Schizosaccharomyces pombe: one gene and its partner. Changing the gene in region 2 together with the main gene of any one other region gives a genetic interaction. Each region holds a gene or a part of one and is shown on either strand. Other genes may lie near its edges.

The links.
Region 1: mutations in rpt4 (region 2) and tif452 together harm fitness less than expected from each alone (positive genetic interaction), as found in Schizosaccharomyces pombe (one large-scale study listed by BioGRID).

What each region holds. Positions count from the first base shown.
Region 1 is NC_003423.3:1,132,407-1,140,959, forward strand, and holds tif452 (translation initiation factor eIF4E, 4F complex E subunit isoform 2, stress response factor), read left to right. Parts: upstream 1-1,987; 5' UTR 1,988-2,092; coding exon 2,093-2,569; exon of another isoform or gene 2,570-2,659; coding exon 2,660-2,799; exon of another isoform or gene 2,800-2,856; coding exon 2,857-2,971; 3' UTR 2,972-3,213; downstream 3,214-8,553. Other genes in the region: met7 (putative folylpolyglutamate synthase), read left to right, coding at 1-25, 335-1,636; NifU-like protein nfu1, read right to left, coding at 4,401-5,183; protein Swi5, read left to right, coding at 5,650-5,658, 5,711-5,796, 5,962-6,124; MIS12/MIND complex Mis12, read right to left, coding at 6,342-7,121; SCF ubiquitin ligase complex subunit Skp1, read left to right, coding at 7,742-7,790, 7,844-7,891, 7,966-8,333, 8,379-8,399. UniProt on the Schizosaccharomyces pombe protein: Recognizes and binds the 7-methylguanosine-containing mRNA cap during an early step in the initiation of protein synthesis and facilitates ribosome binding by inducing the unwinding of the mRNAs secondary structures.
Region 2 is NC_003421.2:397,533-414,573, reverse strand, and holds rpt4 (proteasome regulatory subunit Rpt4), read right to left. Parts: upstream 8,974-17,041; 5' UTR 8,963-8,973; coding exon 8,745-8,962; exon of another isoform or gene 8,691-8,744; intron 8,323-8,690; exon of another isoform or gene 8,272-8,322; coding exon 7,323-8,271; 3' UTR 6,979-7,322; downstream 1-6,978. Other genes in the region: histone H3-K4 methyltransferase Set1, read left to right, coding at 1-1,809; condensin complex non-SMC subunit Cnd2, read left to right, coding at 2,507-4,735; yip3 (Rab GTPase-binding protein), read left to right, coding at 5,751-5,816, 5,881-6,330; mug122 (PX/PXA domain protein), read right to left, coding at 10,076-12,325; rpl1902 (60S ribosomal protein L19), read right to left, coding at 13,226-13,807; Clr6-associated factor 2 Laf2, read right to left, coding at 14,676-15,494.

The DNA of each region.
Region 1 (8,553 bases), on a different chromosome or scaffold from region 2:
TTGGCTTAGATGCATTGGATATCAGGTAAGTTACTACTTATAATTAGGAATTACAAAAGAATAGCACTCAAATATTTTAAGCCGCTGCATATGATTAAACGAGATTGAAACAAGTATTTGTATGTCCTTTATAGTACTCGATTGTGATCCTTTCTTTAACTTCACCTTATTTTTAATAATAATAATCTCATTGAAAGGACAGCACATCATGTCTATAAAGGGAAATATCAATAGGAATTGTTGACTTGGCTGGTTTAGCCTGTATCTCTTTACGAAATCTTTTTGTTAATAGTTCTATACTGTCATGCAACTTTTACTAACTAATAAATCTCAGCCATCAGATTTGAACCGACTAAATGTCATCCATGTTGCTGGAACTAAAGGAAAGGGTTCTACATGTGCATTTACATCCTCAATATTACAGCAAATACAGAAGAGTGGAGAAAGGTCGATTCCAAAATGCATTGGTATGTACACTTCTCCTCACCTCCGATCTGTCTGTGAACGTATTCAATTAAATGGCAAACCTATCAGTCAAGAGTTGTTTACTAAATATTTTTTTGATGTATGGGAGCGCCTAGAGAATGCTGTCGGTAGTGATTCGGAAAAGCCAATGTATTTCCGATTCTTGACACTAATGGCATGGCACGTTTTCATTTCAGAGAATGTCGATGCCGCTATCATTGAAGTTGGGATTGGTGGTGAATACGATTCTACAAACTTAATTGAAAAACCATATGCCACAGCAGTTACAAGCTTAGGTCTTGACCACACGTCTTTGTTGGGGAACACAATAGCAGAAATTGCTTGGCAGAAAGCTGGAATCTACAAAGAATCAGCTATTGCCTTAACTTGCGAGCAAGCTCCCGAGGCTATGAATGTTTTAAAAAACCGTGCTGCTGAACGAAATACATCACTTAAGGTAGTCATACCTCCTGCTGAATTAACGCCGGATATGATTGGTCTTTCAGGAGTTCATCAGCTTGGAAATACATCCCTTGCAGTTTCTTTAGTCCAAGAATTCTATGAAAAGGCCGGGTGCCCTTTTGATAGAGATCCATATCAGGATCCAGCAATTTTGGACGGCCTCAAGTATGTAAAATGGCCTGGAAGATGCCAAATTGAGGAAATCAACAACATAAAATGGTGTTTTGATGGAGCCCACACCAAGGAAAGTTTGGAGGCCACTGGACTTTGGCTCGCATCCAAGAAGAATCTTTATGAGGATGCAGATGCCCGTATTCTTCTGTTTAACCAGCAAAGCAGGGATGATCCAATTGCTTTACTTAGGTCCTTCTTAAAAGGATTGGAAAGCTCGGGAACTGGGATTTCGTTTACGCATGTTATATTCTCAACCAATGTCACCTGGAAGGATGCAGGCTATAATCCAGAGCTGTTAAGCATTAATACCATTACTGATAATAAGCCCGTTTTGCATGTACAAGAGGATTTATGTAAATGGTGGAAAGAATCGAAGGGCACGACTAGTGAAGCAACAGTAGCCCCTACCATCCAAGAAGCTATTGAGACAGTGATGTCAATTAAGCAAAAATCCAGGAATACTTTTGTTTGTGTCACCGGAAGTCTGCATTTAACTGGTGGTGTTTTTGTAGTACTAGATCAAGCTGTTTTTTGATTGAAATGGAGAAAGGTTCTACATTTTGCAACATTGTTTTTGAGATTTAAATGATTCTTAGATATACAACATAGCTTTATGCATCTTTGTAATTACAAAATGATTTTTAACAATTTGACACGTAAGGGGAACAAATTTGATTTCACGAATTATAATAGTATGCAGATAAAAAGCTGTGTGAAATTTGATTATACTCGTGCATTTCCAATCAAACAAATAATTTACTGTAAAGCTTTAAGGCTGATTATTGACTTTTTATATATACTTAGCCAATATTTAAGGTATGAATGTACAATTATATTTTACAGGAACAGTGTGTTGAAAGTTGCTTTTGCTTGGATCTCGTAACCCAATTACGACCACCGCATCTTTTCAGCATCCAGCCTAGTTTACAAACTGCCTATTATAAAAACGTTTTAAGCTCTTTTAATATTTTTGTTTTTTTAAAAAAAGCAAATGGCAGATGCAGAAGACTCGCGTCACTCAAAAAATGAGGGTTTTCCCAACACTTCCTTAATCACAGAAAAACTAGATCTATTGGATTTATTTGGGTCACCAAAAGTTAAAACTGAAAGAGAGGGACGTCCAGCGCGCCTTCTTGAAGGTCTATCGGCTGTTAATGCTGAAACTGCATTTGTAAAAACACACCCCCTTCAGCATGAATGGACATTGTGGTTTTTGAAACCACCTACACAAGGTCTTGAATGGAGTGATCTTCTTAAAGAGATTATTTCCTTCAAGACAGTGGAAGAGTTTTGGGGCATCTTTAAGACGATCTCAAAAGCTTCGATGCTTCCCGCCAAATCGGACTACTCTTACTTTTTGAAAGGTATTCGTCCTGAATGGGAGGATCCTCAAAACATGAATGGTGGGAAATGGGCCTACCAAAGCAAGCACAAAGGTTCAAATCTCGACGAGTTGTGGCTGTATATGGTAAGTCATGGTCTGTTCATTTTAACTGCTGTGATATCGACTTTACAGAATGTTAATTTTTAAGTTGAAAGTATTAACGTATGGAAATAGGTGCTGGCAGCCATTGGAGAAACATTAGACCCTACTGGGAAAGAAGTTACTGGTGTAGTTTGCAATATGAGGAAAGGATTCTATAGAATCGCTGTATGGACACGAAATTGTAATGACAAAGATGTTTTGGAAAAAATCGGGTATGTGAAGTTTTAAGAGTAACGTGTTGGTAGTTGACTGGACTAACAAACATGTAGCCTGCGCTTTAAAGAAGTTTTAGGGATTTCTGATAAAGAGACTATAGAATATAGTGCTCATGAGGATTCATCAAAGGCTGGTAGTATGCGAGCAAAAACCCGTATGAGTCTTTAATGATATCAAGTTTCAAGTTTTTATTTTTACTTTCTAAGGCTTGGTAAATTATAGGGGTGTTCATTTACGAATGACAATATGTTATTGCAATCATTGCCCTCTTGTTTTTGAGACCTCTAAAATACCAAGCTTATTGAGATGAGATAGATGCCTCTTTACAGTTAGTGTATTCGTATGAATAGTTTAATTTGTTATATTTGTTGAGCATTTTAATAGGCTAATGGATATAATCTATATTTGACCCTTCTCTTACGTTATAAATATTAAAATTCTATCAAGAATGTAAATATGCTAGATCGCCAAATCTTCCTATTATTCATAACCGCCTGTATATTAAACATTTATCGCTAGCTTATTTCAAGCTGAATAATGTCTACTATGATTTTACTATTTCCGAGGATCTAATGTAATGTTGGAACTAACCTTTATCGCTAAGGATCCATGAATGTTTGAATCAAACTAAAATTTCGAAATAATAGGCGACCTTCATTTCTTCTTATCATTGTCGAAATCGGATAACATTAATTAAGAAGATAGCCCTTTTAATCGAATTAATGCAGCGCTTAATGAGTACTGGGAAAAGTGGGGAAATTTACTTGCAACTTCTGTATGCTTAGAATTAGATATCTGGTGAAGAAGTATCTACAATCAGACTTTTCAATGTACTGTACGGAATATTGTCGAGTATCAGTGCACCACTTCAATTCCAAATCTATCGCTTCGCTTATACTCAAAGTTTTTTAAACAAATAAAGCTCAGCACTAACTTCATCATTTGGTTAATCAGCAATTAGCAAAGATGAAATGATTGACGAATATTTCGTAACGCTGATACAATCTCCCAACTCCAAACATAATTCGCTTATGTATACCTATTTAATAACCTAGAGCTTAATTGAAAATATACGAATGCATTACCACCTTTTCTAACTAGTCAATTTTTCGAGTATCGTTTTTTAAGCAAAAGAGAGCCAAAGGCTAACATTAACTCAACTCCGTTCTGTGTATCAATTCTCCTTTTCAAATTTCGAAAATAGTCATCTGCGTACAGGGACATCAACGAAACATTCCAACAGTATTTCAAAATTTTTACTTATTTATTTCATAAATATGTACCCTCGCTATTATTAAAACATTTAAATATCTCTGAATAATACAGGTGTTGATGAAACCTGTAGTTTATATGATACACATCTTCATTATTCGTACATAAAATTTGCAGTCGAAAATGAACCAAGAAAGTAACATTATATGATTAAACAAATCGTCTTATATAGTAGTATGTGTTTTTTATCGAATACAGTGTAAATATTCATTGTTATTTGCTGTTTTTTCTTAAAACTCATAAATAGCGTTTTGTTCGTCAATTATTAATTTCTATCACCAAAGTCTTTTAAATGAACCAAATTCCCTATGTTGAATGGAAAAAGTTACTTGTTATCAGCTTTCTGTTTGTTTCCGTTAATGCGCTGTTCAAATTTTTCAAACTCGGCAATTGCAACCTCCTCTTCTGGATCTAAAACTTGTACAACATTTTCCACTTCCGGAATGTAATGCTTCAGCATTTGCTGAATTCCATTTTTTAGTGTCACAGCTGATGACGAACAGGTTCGACATGCACCTCGAAGTTTAAGAGAAACGGTACCTGTCTTCTCATCAAACCCTCTAAATTCCACATCACCACCGTCTTCTTGGATAGATGGACGAATGCTAGTCTCGATCAGTTCTTTAATCATTGCAACAATTTGACTGTCGCTTTCTAATATTTGAGTATCGCTAGCCCCCTTTAGAGGCTCTTCAGAGAGTACTGGGCTTCCATTACTTAAATGCTCCATAATTACACTAAACACTTCTGGCTTCATTTGAGCCCATTCAGTTCCTGCTCCCTTGGAAACAGTAATAAAGTCCTTTCCAAAAAAAATGCTATCAACTCCATCTATATCAAATAGTTTCTGTGCCAATGGAGAATTCACAGTTCCTTGTCCTCTCATGAATTCACAGCTTCCGATAGTTGGAGGCAAGATATCTAGCCCTGGCAGGAACTTCAAAGCGTTTTCGTTCGGTGTCTCCTCCGATCGGATCCATATGCTGCGAATTGCTTGCAATTGGAAACGTGGAGTGAAAACGTTACCAGCTGAAGATACTGGTAAAAAGGTTTTCTTTTGGAATGCTGTCCTTAAAGATTGAAACGGCACAACTCTAGGAAATAACATGCTTGGAATCAAATCGTGCTTTATCCAATAAGAGACAAAATATTAAGACAAGTTCAGAATTTGAAACTTCTTAAGTATACACTTCAAACAGATGGGAAAATTTAAATGTTTATTAACAATTTTTAAATCAGGAAATGCTAATGTAAGCAATTCTTTAAATACATGCAAGAAGGCAATTTGTACATGGGCATACGAAAACCGATGTGATCCTTATACTTTCTTATACAAATTAGCGAAGTTCATTATATTGAAATAAGCCATTGTTCGTGATTCAACAATTTACTTGTCTTTCATCACTAATCTAAATTCTCTCTTACAAGAACAATAGACATTGTTTTCAATTGAACAAATCGGTAGGCTCCTGCCTTCCTCAACAACTTAATTTCTACTAGGTGTTCAAAAACAGATACCTTCCTAGTAAATTTCACACATCATTGCTTCATTAAGAAAGAACTGTTTAAATCGTATGGAAAAGGTAAGCCAACGGTACCATTGTTCATTCACAAAATACTGATGAATTACTGCAGTCTCAACTTGAGTCACGCGTCCATTTGCTTGAACAGCAGAAGGAGCAATTGGAAAGTAGTTTACAAGACGCTTTAGCTAAGCTAAAGTAAGTGTGGTAAAGTGATGCTAGAAATGGTAGAAAATATGAGTTATGCGCCTTTACGCGCGTTCAGGTTCATTTTGGGAAAAGCAATGTATTGCCGTTCCATCAAATCTATTCAAGTCATCATCAAGCTTGTCTCGTTTTATCTAATGTTGACAAATGATTTAGAAATCGAGATGCTAAGCAAACTGTACAAAAACATATCGATCTACTCCATACCTATAATGAAATACGGGATATTGCTTTGGGAATGATTGGCAAAGTGGCAGAGCATGAAAAATGTACAAGTGTCGAATTGTTTGACAGATTTGGAGTTAATGGGTCAGAATAATTATTATCCATTCAGTTATTTAGGAAAAAAGAGAAGTTAAACAAAACAAATAAAAATGTAACGGAAAAAGTGACAGAGACAATCCAAGTTTTCTTTATTAAGCATTACTTTGCTTTCGCTAGAGATCCAACGCCAATTCTTATATATTTATTATGAAAGTTTACGTAAACGATCACAATTGTTAGAACATCTCAAGACTTTAGCTAGTTGATTAGTATTAAGGCTCGTCAGTATGTCCGACGTCTTTTTCAGATGACAATAGCAACTTATGAATGTTATTTGCAGTTTCAGTATTGGCTGTCGATTCTAGTTTTGACAAGTGATGTGACCAAAAATCCTTTTGCTGGTCGATGGGATTAGATAATCGTTCGTAACCTTTTTCTAAGTAGGTAATTCTTTCATCCACCTCTCGTGAGTGTACAGTGGGAGAGGCTTCAACTACTCTTTTAACGGCATGCTGCAGATTACCAAGTTGATCAAGAAGGAAATCGGTAGTTTCTGGTAAAGTAACTTGCCAATTTTCGGGTACTTTGTTGAGAAAAGAAATTCTTTCCAAATGCTTTTCTATTTCTGTTTTTTTTTCTCTTTTCCTGCTGAGACGCATGCGAAGGTCACGACGTAGTTGCATCTTTACTACGAGTTTTTCTGCAGCCTCTTGAATTGCTTGATCCATGGCGGCGTCTTGCTCTGTTGTGATTGAATAGTCTACATCCTTTCCAAACGTACGCATGTAGCCTTTTAGCTCTGGTGGATAACTAAAAATGTTTCGAAGTGTATACACCTCGAAACCATCATAGTAACGATCCACCACACTTTCAAAGAGAACCTCGAACTTGTGTAGTCCTTCTTCTATTTCCTGTGGCGCTTTTTTAGCAAACCGCGTTTGTGAAAAGGCTTTATCCACACCATTTACACCTTTATATAACAGTTGGTTCGTAATGTTGATCACATCATCAATGAAGGAGAGAGGAGTGAATTCTAGTAACTCCACTAACATTTTTTAATTAATTCCTTTACATTGAAAACACTGATTAGCTTCCAAAGAGGAAACTAGTGAGTTATGATTTTTAAACGGCAAGTTGTTCTGCAATGTACCAACCCCATGTTGCATTTTGTCTGGTGTACTCAGATATGATAATAACGAGGTAAAAGGGATTTCCGTATATCCCATCAAAAAGTATGAATAATACATAGATTTGTTGCTGTTTTTATTGCTGTGAGGAACATATAACTCAGGCGATTAACAGTTTAGTCGGTTTATTTTGTTAGTTGCTTAGAAGTGTGGCTTTTGATTTGTGCTTGGTAAATCATTACTAGAGTTTCTATATCCTCAACTAAGCTCTAGTGGAGGAATACACTAATATTAACTATATTCGAATTATACATTAATAGTACGGACTCATCTTAAACCTCAATTTCTATGCTTTCTTTTATTATTCTTCAGTAGCCTTTTTTAGCTATCACGGTGGGATCGTTCTGCTATGCAATTTGATTTAATGAGGGTTAGCACCTTTTCCCAATATCGAATTAGTGAGTTCTGCCACTGTAGGAATATCAGCATAACTAGAAATGCTAACAGCTTAACTTTCATTCATCCATTACTTACATACATCAACAATGTCCAAAATCAAACTGATTTCATCTGACAATGAAGAGTTCGTGGTCGGTATGTAGAACGGAGAATGTTTTGAATTGAGTGAATTGACAAACTGTTTATAGATCAACTGATCGCTGAGAGAAGTATGCTTATAAAAAATATGCTTGAAGGTATGATCTATACAAGCGCTTGTTGAGTGCAATAATTATTATGGACCCTGTTACTAAAATCTCAATTTCAATAGACGTTGGTGAGATTAATGTCCCCATTCCTCTTCCAAACGTATCATCGAACGTTTTGCGAAAGGTACTCGAATGGTGTGAGCATCACAAAAACGATTTGTATTCAGGAACTGAGGAGGAAAGTGACATTAGATTAAAAAAGTCTACCGATATTGATGAATGGGATCGTAAGTTTATGGCCGTAGACCAGGAAATGTTGTTCGAGATAGTTTTGGCAAGCAATTATTTGGATATTAAACCTTTGCTTGATACTGGTTGTAAAACCGTTGCCAACATGATTCGTGGCAAGAGTCCTGAGGACATTCGGAAAACATTTAACATCCCTAATGATTTTACGCCTGAGGAGGAAGAGCAAATCCGTAAAGAAAATGTACGTTCCTTGGTACTTTATTAACTTAATTCTAACCGCTTGCAGGAATGGGCCGAAGACAGATAGTTTGTGGCTTTTTGTGTATAAAGTTTTTTGTCCTTGGATCATTAAGTGTAGTTTTCAGTGTAAAATGGGAATCTTCCCATCCACCTCATCATGCGCCTTTTTTTTTTTATAAAAAAAAAATTGATATAAAGTATACTGATGATTTTTTACTACT
Region 2 (17,041 bases):
AATTATCGCGAAGCGAGCAATTGTTACCGTGCGCTGGATCGTACATACGTACAAAATTGTCGCATAAAATTGAAATTTCATGACATTCCTTCACGTACAAAGGAAGATGGAAAAAAGAGCGCAGTACGAAGAGTTGTTTTACCTCCCGAGGAAGCGTACGCTGAAGCAACCTCAGTTGTGCTTAGAGATCTTGAGGCTGCTTTGTTACGTGATGTAAAAAGTAAAATAATTGGACCGGCAATCTTCAAATATCTTCATTCAATGCCTAAGCCTTCTGTTAAGGAAGAACTACAAGAAAATTTATTGGTTTCATCTACAAGTGTTCCTGATGTTCCTTTAAAAATTGAATCAACAGTCGGAAAGCTCCCCAGTCTTCCCAAATTTAAAAAACGAGTTGATTCCAGTAAAATGAATCTTTCAGCGGGTAGTAAAACGAAGTCGAAACTTCAAAGAAGACGTAGAAGAAGGCACGAAGCTCGACCTTTACACTACCAGCTTAATCAAATGTATAACTCAAGCGCTTCTGAAGCCGAGTCTGATCAAGAACTTTTGTTATCTTCTGGAGACGAGCGTGTAGAAAGAGGGAAGATTGGCTCAATAAAGTCTGTGAAGTCTGACGAGGCGACTCCAGTTTTTTCTGATACATCTGATGAAAATGACAAATTCCATCGTTTTCGTACAAAATCTAAAATATCAAAGAAAAAATATGAAAAGATGGAAGTTGACTATACTTCGTCCAGCGAAACCGAATCAGATGCATCAATACTTTCTCCTAGTGCTGCGATTCCAAAATCAGGTAGCGCCATAAAAGATGAACTCATATCGCCTAAGAAAGAGATTGATGAAGTTTTAGCTTTAGCTCCCAAATGGCGTATTAATGAGTTTGATGAAACTGGAAGCGTTTATTATGGTGCACTTCCTTACAATTATCCAGAAGACGATGTACTTCTTGACTTGGATGGTCTACAGTACTTGGTAAAAAATGACGAAGATTACTCATATCTTCAAGAGGCACTCAAGGATGAACCCCTCATGGATATCAACGATCCCAATTTCTGGGCTTATGAACGCAAGTCATGTAAATTTAAGAATGGGGATGTTAAGTATGGAGATACGGCTATTCTTCCAGAACCTAAAGGTTATTTTCGCTCTAATACTAGCGGTTCTGCTAAAAGTGAGGGATACTATATTATTCCAACTACCGAAAAATCACTATATCTACCACTTCGTAATCGATCAACCATCGATACTATTAGTCATTCTACAAGCCGTATCACATCACGAATGAATCGTGTTAACAATAGAAGATTGGCTGCTGGAGTTGAAAAGTCTCAATTGCCAGCCGAAGCTGACTTGCTCAGATTCAATGCACTAAAGGCTCGTAAAAAGCAATTACATTTTGGCCCTAGTCGCATTCATACATTAGGGCTTTTTGCCATGGAAAACATTGATAAAAATGATATGGTCATAGAGTATATTGGAGAAATCATTCGACAACGGGTGGCTGATAATCGTGAAAAGAACTACGTTCGTGAAGGTATTGGAGACAGTTATTTGTTCCGTATTGACGAGGATGTTATCGTTGATGCTACAAAAAAGGGAAATATCGCGCGTTTCATCAATCATTCATGCGCTCCTAATTGTATAGCTAGGATTATTAGAGTTGAAGGGAAAAGAAAAATCGTAATTTATGCTGACAGGGATATTATGCATGGAGAGGAACTTACTTATGATTACAAGTTTCCGGAAGAAGCTGATAAGATTCCTTGTTTGTGTGGTGCTCCAACATGTCGTGGCTATTTAAACTAGACAATGATGCTCTTGGAGAATTGATGGTACATGAATATATGGGCAGCTGTACAATTATAATAGTTCGTTTAAAAAGCACGCATTATATCTGATGGTACACTAATGCTTTTTATTTTTTAATATAGAATAGAATCAATTTTCTGTCTTACATCGTCTGCATTTGATATTGGTTGAATATTTTGAGAGTCAGGATAAATGCGCATACCATTCAGTGGATTGCATTCAGGAGTGATTTAGAAGTAAAATGTTAAGAGATATACTGTCTTAGATATATCCATTTGCTCCACAATACTACGAAGTTCAAGTTTAAATAAACGAAAACGAAAAATAAAATTCTCTTAAAACTTGATAGCTACTGAATTTTAGGATCCAAACTTGATTTGGTATTACCTTGTTAATTTTATATGGAAGATTTATAATAATTGAAACTTCACAAAATTTGTAACAGAATAATAAACAAAAGACTTTTGACTTTGTAATCGGGAAGCCATCAATGAAGTAAATTGGGAAATACTATATTATTTGAAAACAAATTTCAAAAGAAAAATAATGTTATCATATTGGCATTTATTTAGAAACTTATTTGAATCTTTATCATTTGTTGATTAGAAAGAAATATACGGCATATCGTTAAAGCGCGATATACGTATAGGCACACCGACTTACCACTTGTGAACATAAACATTTACTTAAATCAATGAAAAGAGCTAGTTTAGGCGGGCATGCGCCCGTTAGCTTACCCTCCTTAAATGACGATGCATTAGAAAAAAAAAGAGCTAAAGAGAACAGCCGTAAGCAGCGCGAGTTGCGAAGAAGTTCAGCTCTGCACTCAATAACGCCAAGAAGAGAATCTCTAAACAATTCTTCACCATTTAATAGCTCTCATCAGGTTCCTGTTCTTTCTAATTTTGAGGAATGGATTAAATTAGCTACTGACAACAAAATTAATTCCACAAATACCTGGAATTTTGCGCTTATTGACTATTTTCACGACATGTCGCTTCTACGTGATGGTGAAGATATAAATTTCCAAAAGGCAAGCTGTACATTAGACGGATGCGTGAAAATTTATACTTCGCGTATTGATTCTGTTGCTACTGAGACCGGCAAGCTACTCAGTGGATTGGCAAACGATTCCAAAGTATTGCAGCAAACGGAAGAAGGCGAAGATGCTGAAAATGATGATGAGGATCTACAGAAAAAGAAAGAGAGAAAGCGTGCACAACGTTCGGTAAAGACTCTCGTTAAAGATTTCGAGTCAATACGCGCTAAAAAATTTGAGTTAGAATGTTCTTTTGATCCTTTATTCAAGAAAATGTGTGCAGATTTTGATGAGGATGGTGCTAAAGGCTTATTAATGAATCATCTTTGTGTTGATCAACATGGACGAATTGTATTCGATTCTAGCGATACTGTCATCAAGGATTTGGAAAATAAAGATGTTGAAGCTGAATCGCAGGAAGCGGTAGTCGCAGCGCCTATCGAAAGCCATGACACAGAAATGACTAATGTGCATGACAATATTTCTAGGGAGACCTTGAATGGTATTTACAAATGCTATTTTACCGATATTGATCAGTTGACAATATGTCCCTCCTTACAGGGCTTTGAATTTGATAGTAAAGGGAATCTTGATGTCTCTCTCTTAAAATCATTAAGTGATGAAGTTAACATGATAACGACAACCTCCTTAGTGGATAATACGATGGAGAAAACTGATGCTGATGCAGCTTCCCTTTCTTCCGATTCCGATGGTGAAGAAGGACATATTGTGCATGCTTTGGAGGAAATGGCTTACGATGAGGAGAACCCATATGTTGATGTAGTACCAAAAGCAATGGACGAATCCGAAAATCCAGATTTTGGTGTGGATACTGAAGTCAATATGGCTGATGGAAGTACTATGAATGAAAATTATTCTATTATTTCTACTGCCGCTGCGAATGGAGTATACGAATATTTTGACAAGTCAATGAAAAAGAACTGGGCTGGACCCGAACATTGGCGCATTCAGGCATTGAGAAAAAATATCAATAACGCATCAACTGTATTCAACTCTTCCAATACGGCTGAAAGTTCAGATAATGTATCGCGTTCTCTTTCTTCCACGGAACGGAAAAAGCGTCGAGAACTTGATAACGCCATTGATTTCTTGCAGGAAGTAGACGTCGAAGCACTGTTCACTCCTGCAACCAGCAGTCTCAAGCTTCCCAAGTCTCATTGGAAAAGACATAATCGATGTTTACTACCTGATGACTACCAATATGATTCTAAGAGGCTTTTACAGCTTTTCTTGAAACCAAAGATGTCAGTTCTACCCAACGCTGATGGAGAAGGACAGCTACAACTGAATAAAGCCTTAGATGATGAGAATGATTTGGACGGTATTCAACCCCATGGATTCGATTCTGATGGCAGTGATAATGTTGATGAAGGAATACCCCCGTATGGATTTGGAGATTCCGATAGCCCTAAGCAAACACCTCTGCTTACACCTCCATCATCATCAGGATTTGGTGATAACCTTTTGTTAACTGCTCGTTTGGCAAAACCAGATATGCTGAATTATGCGAAGCGTGCTAAAAAGGTTGATGTGCGAGTACTGAAAGAAAAGCTATGGAAATGTCTAGATCTTGAAAACACAATTAAAGAAAATTCCATCAACTCTCATATTGAGGGTTCGGAGATGGAGTCAGAAGAAACCAACATGCCAGTCAAATCTTTTTTTTCCACTGTCAATCAATTAGAGGAGACATACGAGAAAAAAGAACTCAAAGATATATCCACCAGTTTTGCCTTTATTTGTGTTTTACATTTGGCGAATGAACATAATTTAGAGCTTACAAGCAACGAAGATTTTTCAGATGTTTTTATTAGGCCAGGTCCTAACTTGACGACGCTAGAAGCATTAGAAAATGATGTTTAAAGTGTGTAGAATCGAAATGATGCAGGTCATCATTAATTAGTCATCATCGCATACTTTTAGCTAGCGTGAATCATTTTCAAGATAGCCGGAAATTATACTCTTTTTGATCTACCTTGAATAATAAAAACACTAGCTCGTATTTTTAGGCTGTTACTACTTTTTGACATTGAAGAGTTGTGAAAAATGAAGAGTGCAAATTGCATTTTGTGGAGCAAGCTGACAGCGAAATTTTTTGTAAAAAATACACCTTCCTTTTATCTTGTGATCGTTGAAGACATCAGTATCTTGCTTCTGCCTGTTAATTCTGTTGGAACTCACTTAGCAGTTGACTCTTTGGAAATAACGAGATATTGCATTCATTACATGCTTCTATTCTCGACAATATAACAAAAAATAATAATTATTTATTGTCTCTATGTGAGGTTTTTTACCTATAATAGGATTAAATTGTACCAATATACGGTTATTCATATATTGTGAAACCCTTTCAAAGTTAGAACATATCGATTTGAGTACAGAAATGTAGGGTAATTTTATCTTTTATGTTAATCTTTCTCAAGAATCTATTTTTTTTTGATACAAATTATTAAATGAATTATCAGAGAAAATGAAATTTGTCAATGACCAAGCTGTAGAATAATTTCAACACCGTCAACGAATGGACTTTGGCTCAGTAAAATAAAGTTAAAATACATCCTTTTAGTTAAAGAAATAGGTTTATAAGCAATCTATGAACTTTCGCAGCAACGTTAGTTCATCTAGTTTTACCATAGATTTGAAATAGCGTTTAAAGCAAAATTACGCTATATACGATAGTGATTCATAATTTAAATAAAATGAGTTATGCAATACAATTATTACAATTTTTTCTGTTGCACAATATCTATTTAGCGTTGCTTTCTCAATGTACTTTACAGTGGGTAACAATCAATGGCTTAGAATACTTTGTCAACATCCAGGAAAAGTAGAATTTATCCTTTCCCTATATCTAAGACACCTACTACGGTTTTTCATAATGTCAGCACTGTCGTTGAGTATTACTAAAGTTTCGGAGACTTTCTCAGAAATTTACGCTTCAAGGGTATGAATTAATGAACTATGAGTAGTAAACTTGAAAAGATCAATTCACTAACGCAAAATGGTAGGCTCAGTATCTAAGTGGTTTTAAATCGGTGGGCGAGTTCTTGGATGTTCGTAGAATTTCTAGACCTAGGAATTTCAGTGAAGCTCAGTCGAGAATTAGCTTCAACTTTTCGAGGTTTTCTTCTAACTATCTTGCAATCATTGCTATGCTCGTTATTTACGCACTTATCCGTAACCCTTTACTTTTAATTGTCATTGGAATTGGTGTTGGTGGTGTTTATGGTATTCGTAAGCTTCAAGGAGCTGATTTACAACTTAGCCATCGTGTAATTTCCAACCAAAATCTTTATGTCATTCTAGCATGCGTGTTGATTCCTCTTGGGCTGTTCGCATCTCCCATCGAAACTATCATTTGGTTAGTTGGTGCTTCCTGTGTCTGTGTATTCGGACACGCTGCTTTCTTTGAGCCTCCTGTTGAATCGGCATTTGAGACTGTCGAGCAACAAGTCTAAAAAAATTGTTTCTAACAGCCTCTTTGGTTATCTTGGTACAGTTGCTTTAATTTTCGTACATGTCTTTACAAAGGGAATACTGGCATTTCCTACGCTTACTCTTCTTTGACAAACAAAAAGAGGGAAACTGTACGCCGATTTTAAAGAAACTAGCTTGCTAATCATTTTATTATCAGTTATTTGCGTTTCATACTTTTTTCCTTTTAATACGTTAATACTTCATTTGTAATTTTTTAGATTATTCATTTCTGCGCTCTTTGTTTTACGCCTTTTCGTCGTCTTTTTCAATGACTCTATCTGGCTATCTTTATCTTGCCTTTACTTTCTTGAAATTATGGGATAAAATGACTTCTAAACTGCGCATTCAGCTTCATCTAGTACTATAATAACTAGTTTGGCTGCTTATATGAAGCCAGCTATGATTTTCACCTCTCTTATTCTTTTATCTTAGCGTACTAGACGTTTTTCCTCGTTTCTTTGTCAAAGGTCTACTACCTTTTAAGGATAACTTCAAACTATCCTTCCTGGGAAGAGAAGAATTTTTGCATTTTTGAACCGGGTTTCGTTCAATATATTTAGTTCGTTCTTTACACTTCAGTGCATTTGGTTAGTTAATAATTTCTAGTCAAACATTTGCTTTACTTTTAATTCATGTGTATAATTAATTGTTTATTTTTACTTGATCATTTTTTCTTTTGTCGCCAGTAAATTATGTAGAGTGGAAAAACAATGTTTGGTATTTGGAGGATATGGAAAACATAATCAAATATTGAAGAAAATCAGTTTGTACTATCACAGATATGCCTTACGATAATATACATAGATTCCCATCAAGCATATTCATATATACATGATAAAAGCCAAAAGAGTCGGAATATATTAAAAGTAAACGTTTCACTTACTATTCGACCTTTTTAATCATAACTATGCAGTTGCGCGTATAATCTTCATCGGTAAACTTATCATTTCATGGCTTTTTGGATATATGTGCACTAAAGCTTTTGGTAATCAATTGTACCTTCAAGTTTCTTCAGGTCAGCAACCTTACGAGCTGCGGACATTAAATCGGACTGAATGACATAGTCGCGATCTTCTTTAATGGCTATGAATCCTGCTTCTGTAACCACATTCCGCAAGTCAGCACCATTTGTTCCATCTGTCAGTTTAACCAATGCTTCATAGTCAATTTCGCCTTGTTTAGAGACTTTTTCTAAATGGATTTTCAAAATCTCCATACGACCAACTTCGTTTGGTAGGGGAATTTCAATTTTACGATCTAGACGACCAGGACGAAGCAAGGCAGGATCTAGAGTATCAGGACGATTTGTCGCCATGATAATTTTCGTTTGGCCAAGGTAATCGAAACCATCCATCTGATTCAATAATTCCATCAATGTACGCTGAATTTCACGATCAGCAGATGTTCCTTCAGAGAATCTTCTACCACCAATAGCATCAATTTCGTCCATAAAAATAACACATGGCTCATGCTCTTTTGCATAGCCAAACATTTCACGAATTATTCTAGCAGATTCTCCAATATATTTATCAACGATAGCACTGGAAACTACTTTTAAAAAGTTAACACCTAAAGATGCCGCCACGGCACGAGCTAAAAGAGTTTTACCAGTACCAGGAGGACCATAGAGCAAAACACCTTTTGGTGGCTTAATTCCCACACGAAGGAATAATTCCGGATTCTTTAAAGGTAGTTCAATAACTTCACGCAATTCACGAATTTGTTCATTCAAGCCACCGACACCGGCGAAAGAAATGTCACCAGGGTCTTCAATTGACATATTGTAAACGAGAGGATCAACCTCACGAGGAAGAATACGCATAATGGTTAACGTGGTCATATCTAAAGATACACGAACGCCTTGAACCAAATGAGATTGGTCGACATTGTTTCTGCAACCTACAACGTAACGTGGACCAGAGCTAGAATAGGTTAGGGAAACAGAAAATAATGAAAGGAAATAAAAAATAGTGTACTAATGCAACGATAGATTTGTAAAAAGAGAAGGATGACTATACGTGAGGTATCTACTTTCCCAACGATTTGCTATGAAACCAGTAAACAGAGTGTTTCATGCTTCCGGTTATAGATTTTTATACCGTGTGCGCATTTCAAAAAGAATTTTTGCTGGATGGAGAGGTTAGAACCAAACAGTTTTTGAACACAGATTTTGCCCACTGAACTTATCTTTAAAAAAAAAAAGGAACGGGCAAATGATTATATGCATTTAAACATGGTTCCCATTCATACGCCACAAAAAATTCTTTATGAAGGAATTCAACGCCCAACATATGCATTACTAATAATAAGGTCTTCACATCCATTTTCACATTTCACTTGTATATATCCTCCACGTAAAGCAAACAATCTCCCAAAAGTTTGAGTAATTACTTACCTAGCTTTTACAATGAATCTTTCAGAATCAAGTTGTTTCAATACTTCTCCAATAATCTGACCAACCGACTGCAAGCTTTTTATATCATCCTCTGTTTTATCATATTTCTTGACTAGATCTCGATTTCCAAAACGCAAATCCTTCAGTTTTGAATCCCATTCTCGATGTTGTAATAAATAGGATTTATATTTCTCTAAAGCAGTGTCTCTTTCCGACATGGTTATTTCGCAAAAGATGTGTTAGTTCTGGTCAGAACATACTAGCAAATGGGAATCCAATTACTCGGTATTTTACGTTCTTAGAAATTATTAAAACTTCACTAAAGTCGTTTTCGTTAAATAAGCATTGCGAATTTCAGCGGAATCTGTTCTTGCGTAAGATTATATTTTTCTATAATAGCAGTATGATTACTAGACTACAGTTTTCTTTAAAAGAATATTTTGAAGTTTGAATTGAGTATCTTTTCAGTTTTGCAAGTTCATGCTGAAACCCCAACCGAAAATGCATTATTATTTTGTTTAAACTTCTCATATTTAAGTTTTCTCGAAACCAGAGGTATTACACTCCTGTCGCTATCCGTAAAAACAAAAACTTGTTGAGCAAACATCAAACTTTGAAGATGCTAGAATTACTGTTAATCTCAAAATTAACGAACGTTTTCTGCTTTAAAAAATTTCATCCTTCGTAAAATTTTGGGTACTGCTATGTCAACAATTTGGTAGTTGCTTCAAGTCATTCTGTTAACAAAAATTATGCTTAATCCGCCAAAACTTGGTCTCTTAAGTTGAACAATCCAATTCAATTGACCACTTGTGTCAGAATATGATTGTCAATTAATATCATAGTTCCTACAACTAAATTTTCTAAACATATACACGTCTAACTTTTTCTTACACAAAAAGCTAGATTGCTTGTAAAACGGAACGAACAATTAACCGAATAAACGAAACTCAATATGTATAAATTAACGCAAACTTGACTAAAGATAGAGAAGATAGTTCTCGACTTCGCCAACTTTAAACAAACAAATCTTAAAGCAAGGTAAAGTCGAAAATACGATTTTATAAATAAATATATAAAAGAAAGTAGGATAATAAAATATTAACAAACGAGGTAGAAAACAAGGGAATGGTTCTAAAGGTTCGTTTGATTTTGCGATTAATCATGAAACCGGTCATCACGTATCGACCAAAAGCTAATGGAATTTTAAAATGTAAGAGAAGGGAAACAAAATGATAAAAAAGGGAAAGAAGTAAAAATCATTAAAATGCCAGGTATATATCGGCGAAAAGAAATAAATATACGGCACACTTGCGATATACCTTGATTGACTATATGATGCTACGAAGAGCATTGCTAAGTAAATGTGCAAGGAACCCTTGCACGAATTGCGGTTCTTGAAGCAGTTCGAAAATAATTTTTAGGCTTTCCTCGGAGGTTGACTGTCCAAGCATAAGAGTAAAATTCTCAGATAAAGCGTTTTCAACAAGGGTTTTTTCGGCTCGTAATCTCAAACTTTCATCGCTTTCCTCGTCACAAAAAACTGAAACAGGGTCTTCAGGAACAGATTTGCTAGCCTCTTCGAAAAGGGAATCGGCTTCGCTATCAAAGGAAATTTTAGATTCAGTTGAACGTCTGTGTGCCCTTGTCGAATGTGATTCCATGGCTTTTTTTTCGTCGGGCCATACGTTTAAGATTAACGAAGTTAATAAATCTCCCACTAGTTGAGTGTTTGAAAGCTTGTCATAAATTTGGTTCTTTAACATTCGTTCAACTTGAGCCGAGAACCTCCCAGGACCATGCAATACTGTCGTCTTCATAATCGTTAAAACTGATTTTCGAAAAAACCACAACTTGGAATTCAGAGAGCAAAGCTCATCAACCAGAGCAAATCCCCCGCTGATAATTTCTTTAAGACGTTCTTCTTTTAATTCAAAAGCGTTTGGTTTAGGTGGCTCAGTGGTTGGACTTCCGTTATGATCAGGCATCGCTGGGGGGTTTTCAGTTGGTTGAGTGGAAGCGGGACGGTAAGGCTCATGAATCGAATCCTCATCATCCGAAGTACATGAACCGGTATCTCTATAGCCGGTGGTACAAAGTTCAAAGCTATCCCTTTGTTGGCTAAGTGGTTCAGGTGCCAATGTACTTTGATGACTCAACAGCCCAGTTCGCTCAGAACGCTTTGGTTTTGCACTTTTAGATGTTTTATTGCTTAACACTCGGCTAATATTTGTAAGATTGGGTAATGTGGGTACAGAGGAAGATTGATGTTTCTTATCTACATCAAATCCATTGTAAATGTCATCAACTAATGGGTGAGACCTCATAGATTTTGCAAAAAACTTGCGGACATCAACATTAGTTGCAAAGTGACTATCATGCAGTAAAGCTTCTATAAAAAAATACAATCCTTCACGAAACTTCTCATACGTGTTTCCACGCCAAACAGGAAAACTCGGTACAGCTCGCCCATTTCTAGCACTTTGCTTTTTTAACAAATAGTATAAAGTTTTGAACCCCCGATATCGACGATAAACCACCCAAGGTGAGACATGCAAATGAACGGGACGAACAGTGATAATAAACTTGAGCATTTTTTTATCTTTAATAAGGGTATTTAGGGAAGCCTCCTTCAAAAATTGATAATGAAGTTCAATGTGAGCTTCGTAAAAAGCATCGTCAAATGATAACTTCCCTGCATCAGGATCAATATTGGTATGAACGGGGTAATCTTTAAGTGCCTTGGCCATAAGACACTTGTTAACATAATTTTTCTTTGCCAAACAATCACTCTTATCCTCACTTGAAGAAAAATAAAGAATAATACAGCGATTCACGAACCTTGGAGAAGAACAATGTGTTGTGATACGCTTAAATACTTGCATTGCAAGAACTTCTCTCAGCAAACAATGTAAAGGAAGACAAGCTGAGTCTTCAGGTCGGCTAAACTTAACTATCATAGCAGAAGCTTGCGCGCGTAAAGTTCTTTCAATGGACGCCTGATCAAGTAGTTTCGAAACAGCCGACTCGGGATAACGAAGAGCAAATTCAGTGAGAGGGATTTTTTTGCTCCGAAAATGATTTAAATCCGACAAAACTAACGTAGTAGTAGAAATGGCATTTTTTAAAAGTTCATAAATTATATGCGAGGATTCCTGAGAACTCACATATGCATAAAATTGTCGCATAATATATTCTATGGTGCTTTGAACCTCGCGAATAAAAGATGGATCTTCACTAACGTGTTTATACCAACCATTGATGTAATGTTGCGTAAGCTTTGAAATCAATAGTTGTAAAGGAGCTTCAAGTTCAGGTGGTAAAGGAGTTTGATATGGCTTAAGTGGTTCACCCAACTCAGGATGCTTGATATTCAAGATAACACTATGATTGTTGTGAAATAAGCTGTTTACATACGCACCGAGTATAATTCCGCTTAATATATACGAAGTGGTCCCAAAGCATATGTAAAGAATGTAAAATATTAATGACAAAACCAAGAGAGCAATTATCGGTATAACGCTATGCTCTATATAAGGGAGCAAGTGTCGTGTTATACATAAATCCCATTTTCGATACATGAGTTAAGTATAGAAATAGAATAGCTTAGCACACTCGATTATGTATATATTTACAAAAGAAATGACCGGTATATGCAAAAGAGTGATGGGTCCTTAAGGGAAGCACAACAGAGCTTCAATACTATGTTGCGTAAATCTTTTAGCACAATAATAACTTAAAAATCGTGAATTTGAGATTAGAACCAAGTAAAAATCGCCTAGGTATGCAATTCGGGTACAACAAGATATCGAAAAGCAAGCAAACAGGTAATAACTGCCTTGTAGATTAATCTATGTGAAATTGCGATATAATAGAAAATGCTATAAATTCATATTTTGGGAGACGGATACTTTTCTCTCTTCCAGTATGAGTGAGGAAAGCAAATGAGCAGGTGGTTGCCATGCCAACGAAGTGTGATTTTTCATAAATAAGTATGTAAACAAACAAATCGAAACTTCAAGGATTTGGCTATTCATTAAATACAATCCTTTGCATATATTGATTTGACCGTTACAACCATGGTGCAGGTTGAGGGATAGTACAACGCTTATCGTTGTGTGTTCTTGAAAACAGGACTATAGATAGATAGATAGTACATGGAATGTGCTTAGACAACTACTATAAATGATTATATGTTACAAATCAATAATAAAACACAATACCTCAGTAGTTTAAACTTAGTGCTGTTTAACTATGAACGACATAACATACTCATAGATTAATTAGTACAGATGAATTGAAAAAATTTTTTAACTTCCAGTCCGAAGTCATTTGTCAAAGGAGAAAGTTCTACAATCTACGAATTCGTTTCACCTTACTAATGTACACAACAAGCATAGTATATTTAAAACACTATTGAAAAATTAATTTACCGCCTAAACCAAAAGTGCATATGTCAAAACATAAATGTATTAAGGCAATTATTCCTCGATCTTTTCGGCAGCAGTGTAAATTTGCTCACGTTTTTCTTCAACAGCCTTGGCTCTACGTTGACGGGCAGCCTTGGCACGAGCACGACGAGCATCTTGTTGCTCTTGGATCAACTTGGTACGGTTGGCCTCGGCCTTGGCACGTTGGATATGTTCAATCAAGGCACGTTTGTGCTTGAAGGTGTTACCCTTGGCTTCCAAATAAAGAGTGTGGTAAAGATGCTTATCTATCTTACCAGACTCACGGTACTTGCGAAGGAGACGACGCAAGACACGTTGACGACGCATCCAAACAACAGTAGAGGGCATACGAGCCTCAGCAGTACCCTTACGCTTACCATAACCGGTGTGACGACCAAGACGCTTGGCAGCATGAGTTTTACGGATACGGAAACGAGAGTGCATCAAATTGGGCTTGCGAATGACCAAACCATCCTTGACCAATTTGCGGATATTTTGACGGCTGTTAGCATTGCTAATTTCACTGATCTCATTGGGATCCATCCAAACTTTGCGCTTGCCGCATTTTAAAACAGAGGCAGCAAGACGCTTCTGTGTTCTCAGATTTGCCATTGTTAATATGGGTTGGGTTGGGGACGATTGTGCTTTTAGTCTTTCAAATTGTCTAATCAAAGCAGTCACAATGTGTTGTGTTTAACCCTACCCTCAATTTTTACAAAAAAACAAGTGACGATATCATATAGGTAACATTGACTAATTGAGTAGTATGGAAAATGTAAATAATTGAAAATGCAAAAAGCTCAAAGAAAAAAGCCGAATTGTTAGTTACTACTACAATGGAAAGATGCATTAAATATGTCACAAAATCTTAAGAAATACTGAGGAATATAAAAAGAATGATTATTAAAGAAAATGCTTCAACAAGGATGATCGCAAAGTATTTTCTACCTCATTTTTCTGCTTTTAAATATATAATTAAGTATAAATAAAGGAATCAAAATGGAGAGTAGAGAGTTGGAAGAACACAGCCTCTCATCAAAAATTTTTGAGCATTTTTTAGGTAGCCTTTTTTTAAAAGCATGATATACTAGGTACAATGTTAGAAAATACAAACGGCACTCCCAAAGACCATATATACAATAGCTTCTCTTTTTTTTAAATACAAGGATCATAATAAAATGAAAAGAAGACAATATAAAGAACGAATTAAGCTTAATTAAGCATACCAACCAAAAATCTGAAGAGAAAAGAAGGGTATAAAATGGTTACAAAGTATAAACAAGCACAAAATGTAGCTTTAAGTTAACACTTTGCTGAGTGTACAAAAAGAAAGACTTTTTTAAAAATTGGTAAATGGGGTAGTAAAGTCTTTTAAGCAGAGAAAATAACAATAAAAGCAAATTTGGTATGAAAGGGTATTTGGAGAGCAAGATGGGTGATTCAACAAAATATTTCCATCTTAGCACAGAAGGTAAAAGGTTTAATCGTCGAAAAAGCCGACTTCATGAAATGCCTTCCATAAACGGCTGGCTTTGTTTACGTCAACTCGACTAGCCCTTTGAGCATCAGTTTTTCGAAAAGTAAGTCCTTGTTGACGACGATGATGCCATTCCGCAAATATTCTTTTTTTGTTATCAAGATAAATCAAACATGGAAGACGAAGAGTCGAAGCCAAATGTAATTCAGCAGGGTGCAAGAGATCGCGATAAGGGTCATCACTAAGGTCCAAAGGCGGACCTTTCCACTCAGCTTTTAGTGTACGAGGATGCGTACGGTTGTCCAGTACAGACATGTCAGGACAGAAATTCGGCAACTCTTCAAAGGGAAGGTTGGCAACATCGATGGCACCATTAAGCCCATTTCCACGAGCCGATTTTCTTCTACGGGCCTCAATAGTGGAAGGACTAGAAGAGATGCTTCTTTCAGCAGACCGGAGAGCACCGCTGTAACTTGGTGACGAGTCTCGAGAAGAGACACTACTGCGTCCGCGAGAGCCAGAAGATGAAGAGACATTGGAATGCCTGTTAGCCCATCGACCTACATGATTATTACGACGAGCTTTAGGAATTGGATGAATCCGTTTACGACGCAACCATATTAATTCTTGCTGCAACCAAAGTTTCGGTTGATTTTTGTAAACTTCGTAAACAATTCCTTTCATGCAAGCTCGCATGCCATGTCTCCTCGAAATATTTGTATATGATAAAGATTTCTGTTTAGGAGGAGACAATGGCGGTGTAATTAAAACAAAGCTACCTCCATCGGGATTTAAGTTCTCCTGATCTTTTAAAATTTGCATCTTTGAAATTCGATTTCTCAATACAATTGACCGCGGAAGAAACCTCAATGGGTAATTTCTGTGCTTTGCAGAAGACAACTTTTCGGTGGACTAGGGTTTCGTTGTCACTTTGTTACTCTCCGTTGTAGAAAGCAATGTTTTCGATTCGTATTCAAAGAAAACTTGTTTAGCAGAAGGTACAAGTGTTTTTGCATGCTTTCTATTATTATAAAACAAAACATTCTCAAAACACTTTGTTAGGTTTCTATTGAAAATACGATCCATGATGAGTATTTTTGCAAGACTAAATATCACAATTGTATCACATCTTGCTAATTATAGATAGGCAAAAATTTTAAACAAAAAAATAAAAAAAGTTTGATTCAATGTTTTTATGCAATTTTAAACGGTACAGTTTAAATATGTACCTAATCGAATTGTAAACATATACTTCAAGTACCTAGTACTTGGGAATTGCATTTCTTCAAACTTAACCTTTATGACCAGCGGATATTATTTCATTTGGCTATAGAATATCTTATGCAGATAGCATTTTTTCAAATCGAAATTGTTTTATAGTGAGATGTCGCTTTGCAATACTTGACGATCAAAAAATACAGCTATAAAATACTATTCGTTCACTGCATGTGGTTTTTGGATTGTCTAATTGATTTAGCATAATGAGGATACTAAAATTAAGATGCAGTAAATTATCCTTACTTTTGTGGAATTGTGTAAATAACAAGAACACCAATTGTTTACAAGGTATTCGAGTAAATAATCCATTTCAATTTCAGTATAATAGACTCCAAATAGATATTTAGTTCCGTTTAAAAAATTAAAATTAAAATGTAATTTAACCAAGCATTAAAAATAAAAAATAAACAATGAATTTGTTAACTCAATGGATGTGAATATTGTTACACCTTTATGCTTACTCTTAGCGAAAACGTGCGATAATTTATTTAAAATGGACCAGATAATTCAGAAATACTTCTAATTTTAAATCCCGATTACAATACACTGGTGCTATTCTGTAGAGTGTTTTCGTTCGTTTTGCAATTTTTTACAATCAATCCAGACAAACGCTTTGTTCATATTATAAAAATTCTAGTTGAAGTAATGCTTCCAAAAAGTGATAAATTAAATAAAATACCAAAGTTGAAGGAATAAAGTTTACTATATTAGTACTCACAGCAATTTAGTGTTCATATTCTAATTATTAGGTCTGAAAACCTTTTGGAAAAAATGACTGTTTCAGAATCTATAACATTGATTTCAAAAAAAAAAACAATAAACAATAAATCGATTGATGTTAGGATTTTAGAAAATATTTTCAAATCAATGAAATTGCATATGGAAAATAGTAGTTTTATTTACACGTTGAAGGGAATTCTACCTGTCAACGCAAAAAAATAAAAAAATAAAAAAAATTAATGTGACAACATAGTGTAAGCTAAGAAGATAATGATAATTATAAAGATTAAATAATATATTTATATACTACATGCTAAACAATATTTGACTTTGTTCCCAGATCTTTATTTCAGGTTTTGACCAAGGAAACG